4 linked regions of the Schizosaccharomyces pombe genome follow. Changing the gene in region 3 together with the main gene of any one other region gives a genetic interaction. Each region holds a gene or a part of one and is shown on either strand. Other genes may lie near its edges.

What was found.
Region 1: mutations in rad26 (region 3) and tel1 impair growth when combined (synthetic growth defect), as found in Schizosaccharomyces pombe (5 studies listed by BioGRID, with this or other methods).
Region 2: mutations in rad26 (region 3) and rad2 impair growth when combined (synthetic growth defect), as found in Schizosaccharomyces pombe (4 studies listed by BioGRID, with this or other methods).
Region 4: mutations in rad26 (region 3) and pol1 are lethal when combined (synthetic lethality), as found in Schizosaccharomyces pombe (3 studies listed by BioGRID, with this or other methods).

Annotation. Positions count from the first base shown.
Region 1 is NC_003421.2:1,274,515-1,279,236, forward strand, and holds the start of tel1 (ATM checkpoint kinase), read right to left. Parts: upstream 3,028-4,722; 5' UTR 2,922-3,027; coding exon 1-2,921. Other genes in the region: pdr16 (sec14 family protein), read right to left, coding at 3,359-4,722. UniProt on the Schizosaccharomyces pombe protein: Serine/threonine protein kinase which activates checkpoint signaling upon genotoxic stresses such as ionizing radiation (IR), ultraviolet light (UV), or DNA replication stalling, thereby acting as a DNA damage sensor.
Region 2 is NC_003424.3:5,389,056-5,393,193, forward strand, and holds rad2 (FEN-1 endonuclease Rad2), read right to left. Parts: upstream 2,368-4,138; 5' UTR 2,207-2,367; coding exon 2,194-2,206; intron 2,125-2,193; coding exon 2,034-2,124; exon of another isoform or gene 1,857-2,033; intron 1,849-1,856; exon of another isoform or gene 1,653-1,848; coding exon 614-1,652; 3' UTR 531-613; downstream 1-530. Other genes in the region: SPOM_SPAC3G6.05 (Mpv17/PMP22 family protein 1), read left to right, coding at 1-36, 101-198, 268-340; SPOM_SPAC3G6.07 (uncharacterized protein), read left to right, coding at 3,218-3,595. UniProt on the Schizosaccharomyces pombe protein: Structure-specific nuclease with 5'-flap endonuclease and 5'-3' exonuclease activities involved in DNA replication and repair.
Region 3 is NC_003424.3:4,448,905-4,453,894, forward strand, and holds rad26 (ATR checkpoint kinase regulatory subunit Rad26), read left to right. Parts: upstream 1-1,700; 5' UTR 1,701-1,941; intron 1,942-2,021; 5' UTR 2,022-2,210; coding exon 2,211-2,960; exon of another isoform or gene 2,961-3,015; coding exon 3,016-3,681; intron 3,682-3,736; coding exon 3,737-4,165; 3' UTR 4,166-4,465; downstream 4,466-4,990. Other genes in the region: GTPase Ypt2, read right to left, coding at 11-613; atd1 (aldehyde dehydrogenase), read right to left, coding at 4,656-4,990.
Region 4 is NC_003424.3:3,428,950-3,436,772, reverse strand, and holds pol1 (DNA polymerase alpha catalytic subunit), read right to left. Parts: upstream 5,819-7,823; 5' UTR 5,685-5,818; coding exon 5,384-5,684; exon of another isoform or gene 5,293-5,383; coding exon 1,376-5,292; 3' UTR 532-1,375; downstream 1-531. Other genes in the region: rps1401 (40S ribosomal protein uS11), read right to left, coding at 67-486; rpl702 (60S ribosomal protein L7b), read left to right, coding at 6,013-6,138, 6,430-7,056.

The sequences.
Region 1 (4,722 bases), on a different chromosome or scaffold from region 3:
AAAGTTGCGTCCGTGAACTGAAGTTTAGAATGAACACATTTTTGAAATATTTTAATAAAAATCATTAGATAGACTTCGTCTCTTTCATAATCATAATTCATTAAAATTTTTTGAGCCAGTATTTCAAGACATTTGTAGAAAATAGGTTCGGATGTCCGCGCAACATCTAGGAAATATGCACCAATTGCAGACATACCAAAACAAAAAGTTTCAATGGGATACAAATGAAGAATATTAATTAAGCTGTCATGAGGATGACTAGAAAAGTAGTCGATATATTTTTGTAAAATAAAAAGATCAGTATTCCGTATTTGCTCAAGCGATCCTTCCATCAAACCAAGTATTTGATGATTCCTGATTAAATTTTCTGGCCGATAAATATCTTCTTCCTCCTGGGAGAAATACTCATCGTGATCAAATTCTTGAGGCTTTATGAATACGTTTTTAGAAGCCATATCCATTATATAAAGAACCAAGGTTTTGAGCGGATTACTGTCTCGAAAATGAGTTGAACGAATTAAGTCGCTTCCAATTTCATACCGAAGATGTTTTGGCTCATCAGAAATAGTAAACTGCAAATTAGTAGAGATGCAATTTATTATTGGGTCATAACTGTGATTAGACTTAACGAAAGAAAGGACTTCAGGGAATAAATTTTTAAAAATGACAAGATTGTTAGGAGTAACATTATGAATACCTTTTTTCTGGATAAAACAATTTAGAAAGCCACATAAAAATGATATCTGAGAAAATATCATAACTGCTTCGAAGCTTGGGGTTTCCTTGTCAAGCTCATCTTTGTCATAAGATGCTGAGCTAATTTCGTCTATCGAGCTCTCCAACATTTTAATGACATTTTGCAAACTATCACAGTCAATAGTATGGTTACTATTGAAAGGATAGCATCCTTCTGTAGACTGTTTACATATTTCGTCAGTAGTATAAGGAAAACGAAGCGTAACAGGCGACCATGCTTCTTTGAGGTGAAACAAATTACGTTCGAAAGGTGATCGTATTTCTGTGGTGATATAAGATAATGACAACGGTCTATAGAAGATCATCATTAACAAATCAAAAATGATAATAGAAGAATCGGTAAATGAGAAAAATGGTAGTTCACCCTCTTTGCTGAACAAATGATATAGATGCCACTTCAACCATTTTAGAAACACAGATTTAAAAGAGCTTTGACCAACAAATAGGTTTTCATTAAGTAATATGTACAGAGATTTCCAGTAATCAATGGCTTCATATGAAAGCATTGGCGAGTAATCATTAAATAAAATAAACTGTTGCTTTATGAAAGGAAAAATGCTCGCGAAGCACAAAGGCCGATACATGTTAAAATAAGTTAAAATTTGATAGCATACAGGAGACGTAACAGAATTCAGGAGACCACGAGAAGCAGCAGCCAAAATTTCCTTTTTACATGAAGTCGTAAGCATCGAAGAGTAAGCTTTGTTGTAACAAATGTTGAACAATATAAAAAAAGACCAGCTTTGAAGTTCATTTTTTTTCTCAGTAAAGTTAAGACTCATTTTTTGAATTGACAATAGATCATCGTTTGTTAGATTGTCAGAAATAGCAGTGATAATTACCATGAGTTGCAATGAAAAAGAGGAAGCCGAGATATTGGCTAGCTCAGCTTGCAAAAGCAGTTCCTCTATTTGAGAACATGTTTTCTGCTTTTTGTTGGCTTGCTCCGTGCTTGCTAAGGACAACACGGTTTTTTTGAGGAGAATTAGTTTTGCAAGAAAAAAATAAATAAAGTAAGATTCAAAGAAAGAATTATGTCTAAGAGAAAAAAAAAGGTGTAGCCGTGGATCGTAAAGTTTTGCAATGTTGTTCTTAGGCTCAACTGTATGGAATCTAAAATTCGCAAGCGATAATGAGGAGCGTTTTCCAAAAAAATTTAAGAAATTTTTTAAAGAAAAAAACGAAGAGTTAAGAAGATCTAAATTAAAAGATCTAATGGAACGATGGGGATCCCATGTTTCTGAATTGGACCAAAGTGGATAAGAAATGGCTAAGCATTGTATAAGCTGCAATCTTAAATCCAGACGCTTCCATTTATCAGAGTTTATAAGAATCTTAAAGACTAATAAAACAACGCTTGCGGAATAATCATTACAATTGGGGATCGCATATGCACATAACTGAAACAAACACTGCAAAGCTGGTAGATGCGCATCTGTTTCTTCCGTGTAAGCATAAAAAAAGAACTCAAAAAATTTCAGCAGTTGCTCACTAACAAAATTAATTGGAGCCGCATACCATTGAACAAGAGAACGCATAACGTAAATGAGCTCAACGACTTCTTGCTTTACTCTTATAACATCGTGCGATTTCCAGATAGATATTTCTTGATAGTTTTTTTGGCTTATTGGCTCTTCTTCACTATCACTAACATAAGTTTCTTCAGCTATACTTAGTTTTTCAATAGCTTGACAACAATAGGAAACTAGTGATTGCCAATCCGAGAAACGAAGATGATGCAAATGAGGAGAATGGGATAATAGTAGCCGAAGAGCCTTAGAAAAATTCAAACAGACTACCTCACATATAGAACCATTAGCTGTGAAAGTATGTCTTAGAATTATATCTAGAAGCGCTAAAATATGAGGCTCCCTAAATAATAAAATATAAGATTCAACACATGTTCTTAACAAATAGCTAATATCTTGAAGCTTCTGCTCTTGGGAAGCTTTGGAAATTTGACGTTTACCATGATTAGCAGAAATTTGCCATTCAAGTTCGAATGCTCGCTTTATGGCCTTTTCGATTATTAAAGCATCTTCCTGATTTAGCGAATTTCCATTTCTGGAGTAAATTATGTAGCTGCGAAGATTTTGTAGAGCATCTGATCGTGTTTTGATTTTTGATGAAGACAACTTATTAACGATGTCATTTAGAGAAGTCATAGTATTACATCGAGTAAAAGTTATCTTTTCTTCATTAATATATTAACATATTTGGCGTAAACTGATAATTGAGTAAAAGGTTACGCGTCTCCAACTTTTGGAATTTGGAAGGTTCATTTAGCGTGTACGAATTTTACAGATGCCAAGTTATAAATTGAAGTGTGGTAATTCTTCTTATTGAAACTAAAAAGCACGAAACTATCAACTATATAAGAAAAAAGGAATTAAAACAAATGATCTTCTTTGGAAATATCAATGACTCTACTGTTAGCTAAATATGTACAGTAATAGTGGATTTTCTTTTTTCAGCACCGAATTATTCAAAAGCCCTCTATTAAAAGTTTTCAAGGCTGTAAAAAAAGAAATCATAGAACTAGCTCAATTGCGAATAAAGTATAAGAGAAAAGAGTGAAGAGGTTTCGAGAGCTTAAGAAAAACTATTCTATGCTATCCGCGGTGATAAACGAAACAGCGTCGCTAAATGAAGCCGTAGAAACATCTCGTGCATGCGAAAAAGCTGGTGTTTCTGAAACACCGGAACCAGATTTGGGAAGAAGATCATTCTCGGCATCGAGCCCAGCATCAGCTTTGGTGGATTGAGCAACAGGAATAGAGTCCTCCTTTTTTGTAACAACAGGCGTCGATTCCTCATCTTCAACGATAGAAACAGGCCCCTCATCTTTGACAACGGGCTTAGGATTCTCAACTCGTCTTTTTTGAGGAGAGAGCTCATCAGCACTATTGGTTAAAGTCTTTGGCTGTCTATCAGTATTTACAGTTGGAGTAACAGTTGGAGAAGATGAACGATTTGTCAATGAAGGACGTACATACTGTTGCATTAATTCAACATATTCCTCTCCACCCTTCAAATCCCATTCGCTTGTACCTATTTTAGATCCCATCTTCCTCCATTTTTCCAAGATGCCAAGACGACGTGACTTGCACAATTCCACCAACTGGGGCCAGTACTTCTCATGATGATATTCAAAATGAAGAGATCCACCAAAATTCGAATCTAATTGATCCTTAGGGACATAACGATCCAACGGTTCATTGAACTTTAACTTCTCTCGTGTAATAGGGTCAATAAATGGAGATATCAATTTAAAAAAACCCCATACAGCCCAAGGAATATTAATAACAAGTGCTCTTCCAAGACGCTCACAATAATGAGTTTGCAAAATATTCAGTACCTCTTTACCTTGACCAACGCTGGGATTTGAACGATTGGACGAAGACTTGAAATTAATCAACAAAGCCAATGTCTCTACTCCTGGAGGCATAAGATCAATAGCACACTCCAATGAAAAAACCAGATGCCGAATCTGCAGTGGTGAGGTTTTAGTGTTTTGCCTAGCTGGATATAGGTATAAACAGGGACGACCGTCCTTGTCGTAACCTAGCAATACTTGCTTACCAGTTGCATTCTCCTCTTGGATTTCATCAGGATCCATATTATTAACACCGAAGTGACGACGCCATACCAAAGTATCAACAATACGCTTTTTTGCATTGGAAACGTGCCATTTAGTAGCACGCAAATATCTAAGGATGCATTCGCGTGTTAGCCAAAGACGCTCCAACTCAATCAAATCCGTTTTCTTGCTAGAATTAGACGCTACAGGAATCTCTTTTAATTCCAAACAATATTTAAGTACTTCTTCATACATTTCTTCTTGTTCAGAAGTCAAATTCCGATAAGTGGGAGCCATAGGACAATTTGCATCAGGATAAGGAATTGGTGCATTCCAAGTACCATCAGGATCTAATTCCTTAGGGAACTCAAAAGATGCTTTAGACT
Region 2 (4,138 bases), 940 kb from region 3:
GATAAACTTCAAGCTGTTTTCTGGCCCACTTTAAAGGTACACTTAATTTCTAAATTTTCTTTCTTAAATGGTTCTGTTGTATTGTTGCTAACATTTAAAGGCTAATTATATGGTCTGGCCCTTCTTTCAAACTGTGAACTTTTGGCTAATGCCCTTACAATACCAAATGCCATTTGCTTGTACGGTTGCTATTTTTTGGTATGTTGTTTCCAAGAGACATAAAGCATTTTTGCTCCTAGTTTTTTCGCCTTTGCTAATTTCAATTAGGAACATATTTCTTAGTTTGAAGAACGCTTCTTCAATGCAAGAATCTGGCTCACAAGAAATTGAACTATTTTAAAGATCTTTGATCCATCGTCCGAATCCACTGCTTTTCGTTTTTTGAGTTGTATCAGCCAGATTGTTTTTTGGCATATTATTACTTAGAAACGAGTTTTGTATACCATTATTAGCTTATATGATCAGAATTACCTCCTTAGACTAATTATTTTTACGTAAAAGTCATGCATTAAACAGATTTACTATTATTATAGCGTAGTATAGTTTTATCTACATGCGTCTTGCTTTTTTTAAGTTTTTTTTTTAGATTAATAACAATTACATGACTTCGTTTTCAACGCTTTTTCTTGCTTTCACCACCCTTATTTGAATCTCTTTTCCTTTTTGCTGATCCTTTGCTCTTTGTATCTACAGGTTTTTTGGGAGAAGAAGGGACTGGTTTAAAAAAGGAATCAAGACGACCCTGTGGAATTGTCTTTGAGGCTTTTTCTAGTCTATTGATCCCCAATTTAACACGATCTTCATTGAAACCTTTTTCCTTAACCAGAAATTGTATAATGCCATCTGCATCGGGACTTTTCCATTTCAACTCAATCTCTTCACCAGGAAGTACTTCTGCATCCAAAAACAGTCTTCTGGCATCTTCATAAGGCCAATCTTCCGGAATAGGATATTTTGATCGATCCGCCTCTTTGACAAAGCGATCGAGAGTCCCGTATTGCCTAATTAACTCGACGGCTCTAGCGGGGCCAACTCCCCGAATAGGTTCACAATAGTCACAACCCAAAAGAATACACAAGTCTACAAACTGCTCCACCGACATATCTAAACCATTCAATGCTTTTTCTATGTTATACTCACTAATTGGTTCCTTTCTTTGCTCACTAAATGTCAGGTGTCTCAAAAGTACAGGAGCTTGGAAGCACAATGTGTCCATGTCCTCAGAAGCAGCAGCATAAACTTTTCCTGAACGGGCTAAAGCGGCACATTGAGCTTCTGCTTCACAGGGTGCGTTAACGAAGGGAATTCCCATTAACTCTAGTAAACGTTTTGCTTCGTCATTATGTTGCCGAGTAACTTTGACCGTACGTTTGGCAAACCGATCCACCATTTCAGCTGTACCAACCTCTTTTGTCTCCTCTTGATCCTCTCGTGCTTTTTGATGTCGGGCCACACGTTTAGCTAATTCCCCTGACTTCAATGTTGGTGGTTTTCCATCAAAGACAAAGCAAGGCTTTATTCCATTATCGACAATTCGGAGTGTACGATAAAACATTCCCATTAAATGACTAGTAGTCTCGCCTTGTTCATTCATTAGCTGTTGACCATCTTGACTGCGAACTTGAATTAAAAATTGATAAAGACTCATTGACCTGTAATATACGAAATTAGCATTAATAAAGTACCTCAAGAAGACTTTATAAATCAACCCTTCGAAAAGGAAAGAATCAGTTGAATAGAGTTTGACCTATTAGTGTTTGCAACTTCAAGAACCAACAAAGTAAAGAAATGATGTAAAATACCTTGAGCAATGAATTTAACCGAGTCACTGTTAGTGAAAATTTATTCATCCTTTATTCTATATTTCGTTTGTATCATATCTTTGTCTCGAGTTAAGACATAGAGCTTTGCTCTTTAGCAATAAAAACTGTACACCATAGTGTTTAACCCATATTTACAAACAAAATCAGAAGCCATACAGTCTTTGCCAAGTCAACTGAGACTTTCGCTTTCTATTTAGTCTTTCAACTTACGCATCTATAGCCACTTTCCGTCCAAAATAATTTTTAATATCATTATGTTTGACACTGGCTGGGGCATGCTCGCTTAGTACTTGAGCCAAACCTAACCCAGATTAGTTTTAAGTAAAGGAGAGAGTAAAAGATAAACTCTTTAGCGTTAAATGTAACATACCTTTAATTCCCATCGTTTAGCAAATATACTTATTTATGTATATTACGAGATCCCGAACAACGCTTTCTCCAAAACTAGCTTAGAGCTTCTTATTAAATTTTCAATTTTTGCTAGATGTATTATACTCCTCAAAATCGAGCAGTTTTTACTTTGCTCACTCACACAAAGGTTCTTAGCTACCAGCAGTAGTATCCACGTCAAAGAGTCGATTCAGTAAATCACATGTTACTTTTCCATAAAGAATGATCGACCAAAGAATGTAAATACAAGGAAAGGGACCAGCCAATTTATACTGAAAATTCCCATGTATTATAGCTTTTAAAAAAGGATTTCTAGAAGGAACAAATTAGAAATTTTAAGATTACCAAATTGAGGTTCTTGTGGTTTTGGTGGCAGCACGGCTGTAAAATGTAAATCACCTCGCAGTTTACTACCACGAAAAGATCTCGAAAAGGTAATGTACCATCAGAAATTCTGGAAAAATGATCGATTCCTTTTTCCGGATAAGGAATAGGATGAAAAGTACATTGGAACTTTACCGAAACCCTATTGACTTGGCTAGATGTAAGTCTGTGTAACATAAGGTTGTTTTTATGAGAATAAACCAGTGGTTTTACGGTACTGAGATACCGTAGTGAGAAAGCCGCTTGAATTGCTCAACGTAATATTTTTAATAGAACAATAGCCTTGATTCATGGAACAATGTTGGATAATAGGCATTTTACCAAGAGAGTATTATTTGAAACTCGCCATATCTGCTACTGAATCGTCGAAAATATAATCGTAACCAGTTTATGGTATCGCTTGTGTAGTATGCAGACAACGAACAATATTGCAATATTCTACTAATAAGGTTCCTTTACCGACGTATTTCGTGCGGATCAAAACGTCATTCTGATCTTACGTTGGCAAATTCTAGTTAATGTCGGCTCGTTGAAAGAATATTATATGAGATGCTGCGCGCCTTGCTTACAGTATACTCATATCCCAGTGCAACCTCAATTTACCTGTGAAAGCAAGAACAATGTCTGAACAAAGCTCGCCATACTTAACATTGGCACCTGCCGATTACGAAGGAGAAGATGTCTCTAATGAAAAGGAAAAAAACAGTGTTATTCCTGATGTTATAGACTATTATAACAAAGGTAGACAATATTACCAATCGTTTGTGGTTTATAAAGCAACTGCTAATACCATTTTCCAATTTTCATATTTGTTGTATATATACATCGACCTCACTAAAGCTGATCAAACCGAAGTGTTACAATTTCTTAAAACATATGTTGAGGATGAATCGTTTGTTGGAGATGATTTTGTTATGCCAAAGTATACACTGGTTTTACCATATCGAGTGTATCGTGATCATGTAAAAAAACATGGAGATATTATAACGCCAAAGTGAAGTGCTAAATCTATTTTAATGTTTTCTTTTGTTTTTAAAGAACTTTCTGCTTGCATGAATCGCTCATTTTATAAGCAAATACCAGTTATATTGCTTCGCTTATTGTTATGATTTTTATGGATTCAAATCTAAAGAGAATTGCTAAATAGTGATTCATTAGTTAAGTTATTTATTTTTTAAAAAAAATAATAAATTCAACAAAATAAATGTAATCCTTTTTTTTTGGATCTTTTTTTCTGCTTCTTTGCTTTGCAAGTATTGAATTTTTTAAGTTTTTTGAATTTTGTAGCTTAGTAAATCGATCTGTAACCTTTTGAAAAAACAAACTTAAAAAAATACATGTTATAGTATGCACAGTGATATAATCAAAGTTGAACCTCTATTTGTTGATCCCAAATCGAGTTAAGGAAACATTCCTTAATATTACATTACTTTTCGAATTTACATTTGATTACAAAGAATGAATCTTGTTCATTGCAAAAAGGGTTCAAAATGTTATTCGAGTTTTATTCTCGATTATTGATGCACTAGGTTTGAATGTAT
Region 3 (4,990 bases):
AATAAGGAGCCTAACAACACCTCTTCACCGTACGATCGTTTCCGAGGTCAACGTTATTTGCCTGGTTGGAAAATTCGTTTTCTGCATCAATCTTTTGTTTTTTTATTTCCCGGGCAAGGGTAAAAAATGCCTCATCTACATTGACGTTCGTCTTCGCACTAGCTTCTAAAAATTTAACGCCCAGCTCATCGGCTAACGCTTGTCCCTGTTCAAAGGAGACCTGACGCTGATCCTCACAATCACATTTATTTCCAATAAGGATTTTATAAACATTTTCACTAGCATGTTGTTCAACGTTACTAAACCAAGTTCGGACGTTATCAAATGATTTTTTATCAGTTACATCGTATAACAATAAAATACCCATTGCACCACGATAATAAGCAGTGGTAATGGTACGGAAACGTTCCTGGCCAGCAGTGTCCCAAATTTGGAGTTTGATACGTTTTCCATCTAGTTCAATCGTGCGAATCTTGAAATCAATTCCAATCGTTGTGATAAAAGAAGGGGTAAACGAGTCTTCCGAAAATCTCAGAAGAAGACATGATTTTCCCACACCTGAATCTCCTATGAGAAGTAATTTGATTAAATAATCGTAGGATTTTGTAGACATGGAGGAGTGTTGCTTTTGCCAGGTGGTAAGTGGTAGAATCTACTGGAGTCCCTTGAGATAATGCCGCAAAAATACACTTAAATTTATTAATTCAAGTAATGTTATTGTATAAATGGTACTAGTTTTATTTAAGTCTTTGTTTGTGTTTTTTTATGTTGAAAAAACATGACTTTCAACTTTTTTATGTACGTTTCCTAAGGGCAATAAACTCGAAGTTTTGATAAAGGAAGTCACTATTCTAGGGCACATACATACACTCTTGAGAAAGTAACAAAGATATTCACAAGAGAAATAATTCAGATTTCATGTCAGAGAAAAATCTCTGTCACTAAACAATTTACTAGCCATGGATTAATTTATACGATTTGAATGACTGGTAATATGACTAATATAGTACTGCATTGATCAATTTAATCAATGTTTATATGACTGTCATTGACCTAAACATACTTATAATTAACGCTTTAAGTGTTTTGGTTTAGATTTTTCCTTTTTATTTTTGATAATATAGTAAATGGATGGGGGAGAAACAATGAACTTAACGTTAATTCATATGATCATCATTTTAGGCTTTGTCATTGTTGTTCGAGTTGAAACAATAAACCGTTTAAACCAGCATAAACTATAAAATGTTCTACGATTAGGAGTTGGACTGTCTGAAAATAAATAACTTTTAAATTTTTCGAGGTTATGAGTATTCAATAGAGATTGAAATTAATAATTTCTACAATAAAACAAAATAACAAATTATTTCATTTTATCCATTGATATATTTGGTTAGACTACAATTCGATCTTACTTTTTTAATAATATTTTCATTTTTTTAATTCTTTTATGTTTATTAATTCGAATAAATGATGGAAGCCATTTGTCATAACACCTTAATTTAAGTATAAAAAATATTTTTCTCATGTTTTATTTTTAAAAGCATTCAAACATCATACACTTATTTTATTTATTTTTTATTATTGACAATTCAAATACTTGATTTTTGGCTAATAGTGATTTACAGTACTTGAGGTCTTATTGTCGATTACGTAACTCGTAAAACTTCAAGTTGGCTATTCGATTGCTAACCAAAATGCACTAATACGCCAAGTTCAACAAGTAAATTAAAGATCACAAGAAATACTCATAGCAGTTAAACGTATCGTTAAAGCATCTTATATAGCTGCGCATTTTGGAAAAGACTATCTTATTTATCATATCTGTTGGTGCTCTGCAAAATCAATTCATATTGCTACAAGGGTTCAATTATTCATACAGGAAGTTACGCGATTAAGCAGCCTTAGTGACTGCAGTCATATTCTGCTATTAGTGTTTCGTTTGTATGTGGTATTCATACTAGAAAGAGATATGGTTTTTCGGCCTTATCTTCTCTGCATAATATTGCTTACTAACTGTTAAGGTTTTCCAATTGCTGAATTACGATAATTACAGTTACCAAGGTTGCTGAAAGTATTTGAAACAATTTACGATTTATTATGAATTCAATTCTTTTTTACAGAATAAGAAAAACATTGGGCCCATATTACAATTTGGAATCACTTCAAACAACTATTGTTACGCATAAACGAGAGTGAAAGCTACAAACAAAATGATGGCTGATGAAAGTTTTGACTTGGAGAGTTTGGGTTCGGATGAAATATTTGAAGGCGTGAATTTAGATGAATTAGAGCAACAAGCTCAAACCCAGGTTCAAGCTCAAAGTTCTCAAGTAGTTGTACCGAGTGAAAAGCAAAAGCAAAATTTAAATCTTCCAAATTCATACACCAATTCTTCTCAAAAAGTCCGGGAATCTACCGTAAACTCACAAGCCTCATTATCCTCTAATGACCTTCGAACAGAACTTTTAATTAAGTCGGGAGAAAATGCAATTCTTCGTGCTAACCTTCTAAAACAATCCGAAGCTAATAATGCCGCCCTAGAATCGTTAAATAATTCTATAAAGCAAAAGCAAGATGAATACCAACGGAAATTAGAGGAGCTTAAAAAAGAAATTGAATACGCAAAAACGAAATCCCTATTTCATGAGCGTGAAGCACAGGATGCTATCGAAACTATGAAAAAAATGAAAAGAGATGTAAAGAATTCTCCGATTATGAAAAAATCCCATGAAGAAGATGGTGACAATAAATTGTTATCTTCTTCTGATCAGCTTGCTAAGAGCACAAAGCATGCTGCAAAAAACAGCCCTTCTAAAAAGAAGCGCAAAACAAGTGTTGCTACTGCTGAAGATGCTTCAACGGATAGTGTGAGTTCTAGTATTGCTATATCAGATGCAAGTTTGTCTTTGAGCCTGATGAAAGATTTACTTTCTCTACAAAAAAGAGAAGATTTGTATTTTGTAAGTATTTTTAAACTGTCGTGTTAAATTTTATTCCCTTTTCTTACTTTTCTAGTCTTCTAGAACTTTAGCATACGTATTTGGTGGTTGTATGCATTCATTAGAAACAATTGAAGGAGAGGAGGAAGGTGAATGTTTGTTTAATAACTTGAAAGCTCTAATATACAGTCCCGATCTATCTATGGATTCCTCCAATTATGTACAATCTGTCGTTCAAACATCATCGTCGATTTTAAATTATTCAATGAAAAAATTATTATATAATGCCTCCTTTGCTATAACATCTTTGTTTAATGCATTATTAATTTTGGACCCTAAATCATCCACCTTTATCTTTCAGGAAAATGTCGTTTCTTTAATAAGTGGTTTTCTTCTTAAGGAATACGAAAAAAGCAATTTTTTGGACTCAAAGTTTTACGTTTTAATAGATTTTCTTTATTTATACTTATCTATAGCACGTGAAAGTGCTGATGACTTTGCAAACATTACTAAAGCGGTTGATCCGTCGTTATTCGAATCCTGCATTCGAGTGCAAAATGCTCCTTCTTTGATTAAATGTGGTGTTTGTTTAATTATTAGTTCCACCACTCCTTCGTTTTGCGCTTCAGTTAACTTGTTAAATGCCGATGATAAATCCCAAGAATCACTCATGCAACTTTTCACAACTATGGCCCATATTTTAGTTGTTACTACTAGGGAAAGGATTAATTTTCCTGAATTGGTACGTTTACGAATTGTGCTTATAATCTTTGCATTGCTTATTTCTAACAAATTAGAATGAATGGATAACGCTTCATCGCTTTGTCATATCCTTTTTTACCGTGTTTATACAAATGTCTGGAAACATTGGTAAAGAGATTTTAAAAGTATGCAATCCCTTAATAGTATGCATCGGACTAGCCATCACTTGGTATCATCAGCAACTCCTTTCGTCAATGTACCCTCAAAATGAATGCGTAGAGATTTTAGTATCTCTTGTTCGGCTTCTGTACATTTTATCTTCCGAAGATTTATCATCAAAATTTATGTTAGCTGAAAATGCGTTACAACCTCGTTTCGTTTATGCAATAGCATGCTGCGCATTCGGCGATACTGAACAAAAAGCGTTTGGCAATTTGGGTGAGGAAATGTATTTTCTCACTACAGAATTGTTGGAAGTTTGCGTCTCTCCCGAAGAGCTGGAGCAGTTGTACACTAATTTTTAGATAATGAAACAGATGAATCTATTTCCCTAATTTTTCAAATGAAATAATGATACTTGTTTCTTCAGTGTTGTTCTTTCCCGTCCCGCACCCACATCCTCGCAAATTAAATACAAATCAATCTGTTTCCCCAAAGGAATGCGTACCACAAAAACATCCCCATTCCGTTCTTTTAGTAAAACTTACGGCTATATTTACCTGCAAATAAAATCATCTAGCAATTAACGAAAATGAATATATTAAAGTACCACTAACATAAAGAATCATCACTATGTAAATTCAATAAAATGCATTTGAAAGTTCAAATATCAAAACCGTTTTGATTCATAATAAAGAAAATCCGTCATAGAAGAGTTTCAAGAAAAACTGTAAACATTCATAACATAAAGAGAAAAATCCAATAATTCTCTTCACTAGAGTTTTTCTTCATTCTTTATCCATTGAATGCATATTTTTTTATTTTTTTTACAAAAAATATTTGCGTCTGATTTCCTTAAATGGGAGAATCCATTCCCAGGTTGATGTGAACAGCTTTTGTTTGAGTATAATTGGTAAGACCGTAAGAGCCCAATTCGCGACCGATGCCACTCTCCTTATAACCACCAAAGGGAATTTGGTGATGAAGTAAGTTATAACAATTCACCCAAACAGTACCGGCTTCAAGAGCATTGCTGACCTTGATGGCATTGGTAATATTGTTAGTGTGTACACCAGCAGCTAAACCATATGTACTGTTGTTACCGCGACGGATGGCCTCCTCGATGGTCTTGAATTTAATGACGGCAAGAACGGGTCCAAAAATTTCCTCCTTACCGACAGCCATGTCCT
Region 4 (7,823 bases), 1.0 Mb from region 3:
ATGCGATAGACGTCGAGGATTCTCGCACAACCAAACATAAAAATTGTAAAGCAATGACGAAAACGCTCACAGTCTGCGACCACGACGACCACCCTTTCTACGGGTAGAGTCGGTAGGAATGGGAGTAACATCCTCAATACGACCAATACGCATACCAGCACGGGCCAAGGCACGAAGAGCAGCTTGAGCACCGGGACCCGGGGTCTTTGTAGCAGTACCACCAGTAGCACGGATCTTGATGTGAAGAGCAGTGATACCAACTTCCTTGCACTTAGCAGCAGCGTCTTGGGCGGCTAACATAGCAGCGTATGGAGAAGACTCATCACGATCAGTCTTGACCTTCATACCACCAGTAACACGAACGATGGTTTCCTTGCCGGTCAAATCAGTGATGTGAACGAAAGTATCGTTGAAAGAAGCAAAGATGTGAGCAACACCGAAAACAAGCTCACCGGAACGAATTTGAGGCCCAACGTTGGTTGCCATTTTGATATCTTTCCTCCCTACAGATGCGTTTGAGACACTGCGCAAGTTAACATTCTAAATGTGCTTGCAATTTAATTCTCTAATAAAAAAGCAGTCAATTTAGGGTAGGGTTTAAGCTTGGCATATTAGTCCAAGAAATATTAGCAAAAATAATGCTGGGCGTAAAAAAATAATAACGAAGTATTGATAGCGATGCACCTTGTACAAATCGTAATTCTGAAATTTATTATGAGTAATTAAAATTATAGTGTTCTAAAAGAAATGCAAAAAGTTGAACAAGACGAGTGATATATAAAAAAATATCTTTTGTAGGTGTGAATTATAAAATACGTTCATAGAATATGTAAAGACTTGTTGAAGAGAGTGTAAAAGATTGAAACACCAAAATAATCTTGAGCAAAAAAACGCACAGTAAATCAGTTTCTTGTGTCATGACAAAGTCCCTAATTCTCAAATTGTTCGAATGTTTAATGTCTCCACTTGAGAAGGTTAAGGTCTTTCACATAATTTATTGACCGTATTACCACCAGCTTTACGAGTTTCATCAATGGTATATCTCGTGTCATAATGGTGTTTAGGTTAAATTTAGGATGTGCGTAATAAGTCAAACATGTAGTGAGTACTTTGCTATCCAGAGCGTCAATTGTAGAATCACGAATTTCAAATCACAAACGACCTTAGTATTAGAACAAATTATATCAGAGTTGCATACGCCCAAAAATGTAACATGTAGCTTTGTTGTGTTGTAAAACATAGTACTGATAATAATTATTGGCAATTCCCAAGTCTTTGAAACAGGTATTCCCATCAACATTTCTTGTACTGCATGAGCAAATATCTGTTCGAGGTGTCAAGTAGATTACTTAAACGGGTAGAATGAATTAAAGCTTCACGATGAAAATATCAGTCCCATATCTACAAATTCACGCGCATTTTTGTTCATTATTCGAGAGATATTTTTGTTGATGGCATTGCATCTAATGATTCCATTTCTGGTAGCCCCGGTGGTTGTTTGAACAGCTTTTAGCAGGAACTTAATCTGGTTATATAATTGTTCATCATTATATTCAAAATGAACGCTTCCACGACATGATTTGTTACAACAACGCTTTCCATACACACTCATTTGTCGTGTTCGATTACCACAAGAAGAATCATCACATACTAAAATTCCTTCATAATAAAGATTAATAAAATCTCTGAGTTGAGATGAGAATTGAAGAATAATAGTAAAGTCCGAATACTCATATCCACAATCACATTCTACTGTATTCGCATACAACGTTTCCTTCAAGGACTTTACAGATCGTAGGGAAAATGATGTAGCATTACAGGATGGACATTTCAATAGTAATGGGGAAACGTTAATAAAACACTGGTCATCAGTGAGCGTAGACTCATACCGCTGAAACGCAGATGATTCAGAAGTCTCATGTGAGTAGTATTTTCGAGCATCCAAACCTAAGCATTCAGCTAAGCGAGCACGGTTTGTTCCTTCAATCGGTGCTATAACACGCTCGATAGGAGGGAGAATTTGATGCGAAAGATAATAATTGTAGTCAATAACTAATGTGGAATTTGTATTCATTATTTCTTGCGGACTATAAGCTCGGTCGGCAGGGTGTCCGTCAGCGTCACTACCAGCAATAATGAAAGGAATAACATCGCCTACACGAACATTCTCTCCTCTAGCTTTCTTTTTAAGAGCCACCTGCACGAATGGCATCGTCTTTCCATTTGGATAATCTTCTGGATTTTTTCCCAAACGATTGAATATTATAAATTTGTTAGCCGGAAACTTCCCATTACGCATTTTTTCGGAAAAATCCATTAAATAAGAATGAATATTTTCAATTACGGTTTCCGTTAATTCACCAGATAAAATTTGATCCAAACAAAATTTACTAGCCTCCTTAGCTAAAGTACAAAACTCACGACGTTTCATATCCAAGCCCTTTACATCTAAATTGGGCTTCCCTTGAGAATCAAGCTGTAAAGCCGCGTACTTTTTCTTAGCATGCAGAAGCATGCGCTGATAAACGTTATCGATATCAATTTCTAGTTTACTATAACGTTCATTTACCTTTTCCTTAAATTCATTACCAATTCGAAGAGCATGGTTCTTGTCTGTTACGTTCGTATTGAGCATAACTGAATCGGTATCGCCATAAATTACTTGAAGTCCCATTTGATCCGCAAGTTCTTTAGTATTCATCAAGGCTTCCCTACCCTTATAAGTAATCAGAACAGCCAACGGACGTGCATAGAATCGAGACTTCGTATATCCCAGGCAGCCATACATGGAGTTTGCAGTTAACTTCAGGGCTTGTTGTTGGATATCCCATTGCAGCCTTTGTGTGGGAGTGGCAGAGTTATCCTTTAATAGTCCTTTAATTTGGCGTCGACGTTCCACAAGATTTGCAATTAATCGAGGAAATATACCTTGATTGGCCGAGGCAGATGGAGTATCGGGAATTTGATCGTCGGAATCAGAGTTAGAAGGAGATCTGTCAACAGTAGTAAAACAAATATTGTATTCTTGGATAATACTTGGATATAAACTATTGAAGTCCATCACCAAAATACAAGTTTCATAAAGTCCTTTTTGAGGCTCAAAAACCAATCCACCTTTGTATTTATCTTTTTTCTTGCCAAGAGATTCTTCTTGCAGACCGTCTTCTGCACCAAAAGCTTCAGCATGTCTTCTAATACTTTGTTGTTTATCCGGGACAATATATCCATTTTTTTTAAATTCGTGAAGAAGAATGTATTCGTTTCTTTCCGCTCTGGTACCTGTTAATGTTCTAGCCCAAGAGTTACCAGCAATGTTTGTTAAATTCTTTGATAGCTGAAGCATCTGAATTTTGAATGCGACGGCAGCAATAAAGAATGTGTCAATTTCACAGTGAACTAAATAATCCAATAAGCCGTGAGCCGTATCGGTCCATGATTGCAATGCCTTCTCTTGATTAATGTCTTGACGTTTAATGTCAAGCTCCTTAAGTACTATTTCAGATAAACTCCAAGATTGGGCTTTAATCATAGATCGACCAAAGTCGTTAGATAAATCACACATAAGCCTTCCAGCAATAATCTGTTTTTCTACGAACTGTTGAGAGCTTCTATTAAACGAACGTGGCCATTCGCTTCTTCGAAGTCGACCAATACTACTCCAATTATGAATTTTTCGTTCTTTCAGTCTAGATAACAATACTGAGTAGCACATTTCAAAATCATGCCCAAAATAAACATCAGGATCGTATGTACGAACTTTATTTAAGAAATTATTAAGCAACGAAACTTCAGACCTCTCACAAAAGATGGAAGATTTGTGCTGGCGAGCTAGCTTTTCAAAACCATTTGGAAAGATTTGCTTCAAAGGACGAATCAACGAAAAGGAATACGAGGGCATGTCATTTGCAGGCAAACCTTTTTCAATGTCAACATTTTCAAAAATCCTAGCACTAATCATAACGACTTCTTGCTTGTTTTGCTCTTTGTTAATCAGCGTTCTAAATGCAAGACTCATCACCGTCATTGGAGGCGTTTTCGAAGTAATTTCATTTTTTTCGAAAGAAACAGAAATGTTCTGAGGTGACGAACATCCTATTTCGACCCGGCACCAACTAGCATTTTTTACAGCATCAAAATTTGGTTGTTGTATTTTCAGCCAACAAGGACCCATAACTCTTCTACTTAAGACAAACTGCTCGAATAAGGCGGTATTAGTTCCAAAAACGTGTGAGAAAGAAGAACCAGTCAAATCAGTAGGCAGAGCAGGATAAGAATAGGAATAAATTACCTCTAAGTAATCAGCGGTCCGAGGAACATCTTCTAATTCGAAAGCATATTTATACTTGGAGACTCTTGATTTCCATTCCTTGACACCCCTTTTAGATAACAAATTGGCTACTTCGTCGTAAACATCTTTAGTTTGCGCTGCAATAGAATCTTCAGAAACTGAGGATGATGATGGGCGGGGAAGGAAGTATAAAGAACGCATTATCCCATCGACCTTGAGAAAGCACGAAACATACTGTTTAGTAGCTTTATCATATACTTTGCCAAATAGACACAATGAGCCGTACATCTCGGTATAATCCATCCAAAAAAAAAACAAAGAACCATCCTCTTCAGTAACATCAGATGGTGATACTTTTGAAATTGGAGATGAATAGGACGAAGCAGGAACATCTACATTCTTTATCTTAGAATTAATTTCAGAAAAAGCAGAGACGTCAAGTTCCGAAGATAAAGGTGTCATTGGTGATAGAGGTTGCTGAGAAATAGTAGCTTTTGAAAGCGATGCGGTGTCATCGACCTGATCATGACTCATCAATGGCTTCATGGCAATAGATTCTTCAACGTCAATAATGGGTGCATCAGATCCAACGGGGAGTTCTGGTTCGTCTAATTCCATTGGTTGACTGTCGACATTTTCTTCTGTCTCGAGTGCAGCAGGTGGGGAGCTGGGAATAGGAAGACTGCTAGCAGGTTGAGGAGTTGAAGGTACAGTTTCTGGGATGTATTTTTTGGGATCAGAAGAAACAACGTTAGTTGTACTTATTGAGGAAGCAGCTTTCTGAGAGCGACGTTTGGCATTTGATGTAGTATGAGAACGATTTCCCTTTTTTGTCGAGAGGCGTTCGGGAATATCTTGGTCGATTGAGCCAAGAATTTCAGCCATGAATTCATCTTCCTTCTCATTATTTTTTCGATTTGCGATACGTGAAGCAGGTTGGATAGCATTTGCTTTAAAAAACGCGCCAATTTGTTGATTAGGTTCAGCTAGAACGTTCTTCGATTCTAAATTACTGTTAGTGAAATGGCATACCCTATAAAATAGACGCTAGCTTGTGCCTTAATATAGACACATGTAACAGTGCAATAAACATACTCTTTCTTTTTCGACCAGACGATCCTTTTTCATTTTCATCATCCTCGTCACTGTAATGACTTTGATCCCACTCATCATATCCATTATCCACATAACCAGCCCCGTTATCGTCTACGACAAAGTCATCCTCATCCAGTCGTTGTCGAACAATCTTGCGATATTCTTCCTCTGAAACATTGTCATATAATTCTTCATTTTCTTTGCTTTCGTATGTGCTAGCCCTTGTTTTTCCGGCTTGACGAAGAGCCCGTAACTCAGCAAATCTTTGAGACGGCTTTATCCCCGCGTTTCTCTTTCTCATGATAAGTTCACGAGAAGACTTTAAAGTCGAATATATCTTCTTTCAAAAAAATAAATTAAATTAAAAAATCAATAAAAATACTCTTAAGACGGAAGATGGTCGCGAAAGCTCGCGTCTCCTTATGTGTGTGCTCTGGATGTAAACAATAGTACGCGGTCACTAATTAAAATGCATCGCTACAGCGCGTACGAGAGCGTTAACAAGTAATACTGACCCTAGCTCACCACCACAAGAGAGTTAAACCGGAATAGGTTAGGGTTGTAAAGACAGTCACAAGATGTAAACTAATACGGGAAATACTTGAAGCACGAATACTATCTCGTCGAAAATGGTTGCCTCCTCGACCGTCCCTAGCGTAGCCTCTATCTTTGCTCCCGAGTCTCTTCTCAAGAAGACTAAGGCTCAGAAACAATCTCGCGAACAGATTGTCGCTGCAGCTGCTGAAAAGAAGTCTGTAAGTTTAACACCCACTTTTGCTTAAAGCTTTTACGGTTAGCAAATATGGTAAACGAAGCACGATTGTTTTTTTCTGCATTAATTCTAAGATGTTTGAATAAAAAAATCGAGTAAATGGCTGATGAAAGGATGTTTTGGGTTGATTTTGCAGTTTAATTACTCTTGTACTCCTTTTATTAGATGGTACTATGAGAACCGTTTACTTAAAACGTAGTTAGTGTTAAGTTCACCATACTATGCAATCTGAAATAATTTAGTCAATTTGAGATTTTTACTAATTCAAACCTAGGCTCGCCAAAAGAAGCGTGAACTCATAGCTAAACGTGCTGAGGCTTATGAAGCTGAATACCGTGCTGCTGAGCGTGAGCAGATTGAACTTGCTCGTAAGGCTCGTGCCGAGGGCAACTACTTTGTTCCTCATGAGCCCAAGTTGATCTTTGTTGTTCGTATCCGTGGTATTAACAATATTCCTCCCAAGGCTCGTAAGATCATGCAATTGCTCCGTCTTTTGCAAATTAACAATGGCATTTTTGTCAAATTCAACAAGGCTATTAAGGAAATGCTCCAAGTCGTTGAGCCTTACGTTACTTATGGTATTCCTAACCACAAAACTGTTCGTGAGTTGATCTACAAACGTGGTTTTGGTAAGGTCAACAAGCAACGTATTCCTTTGTCTGATAACGCTATCATTGAAGCCGCCTTGGGTAAATATTCCATCTTATCTGTTGAGGATTTGATTCATGAAATTTACACTGTTGGTCCTAACTTCAAGCAAGCTGCCAACTTCCTCTGGCCCTTCAAGCTTTCTTCTCCTTTGGGAGGCTGGAGAGAACGTAAGTTCAAGCATTTTATTGAGGGCGGTGATGCTGGCAAGCGTGATGAGCATATCAATGGTTTAGTTCAAAAGATGCTTTAAGTATAAAATTTGGCTTTTCGGTTTTCTTGTGCCCATAGTGTGTACTCTATATTAGGTTTGTCAATTTACGTATTTAATAAAAAAGAAGTTTGTAATTTACAAATACTTTATAGCAAGTATTTATGGTGGTATGGAATTGATTAACTTGGAAATGCAAGGCTCACTGTATTGTATAGATATTTACGATCTTGTTTGGCGAAATGCGATAAGGTTGATTGTTAAAAATTGAAGAAAATTCGACTTTAAACTTGTTATTTATTAAGTTGTATGGGTATTTGATGGTGTCTTCAAAAACAGCCAGAATATTTTTTTAATGTAGAAAATCTGTAAATTTTTCTACTTTGACTTTACATACATATTTAACGAATAATTCATATTATCTTGCTTCAGCTTCCTTGCGTATATTATTAATATGGAAAGATTAGTCTAAATATTCAACACTAATATTAGAAGCAATGAAGAATAAGTGTATAATCTGAGCAAGGGATAAATATATCTGATGAGAAAGTGAATCTATAAAAATAAATTAAATAAAATTATTGGAAGGCGCGAGTAGTATACATGTAAAATGTATGCACCAATGCAATTATAAAAATTGCCCAAAAGATAAAAAGATAGTCCGAACATTTTTTAATGGATAAATAAGCCAATAAATGGATAACAAAACCCAATCTTGTCGGGATTGAGACAATTCTGAATCGTATATCGTTTGAAAGAGAAATTTATGTTAATCCTTATGGCATAACATTCTTAATTTACAGGGAAAC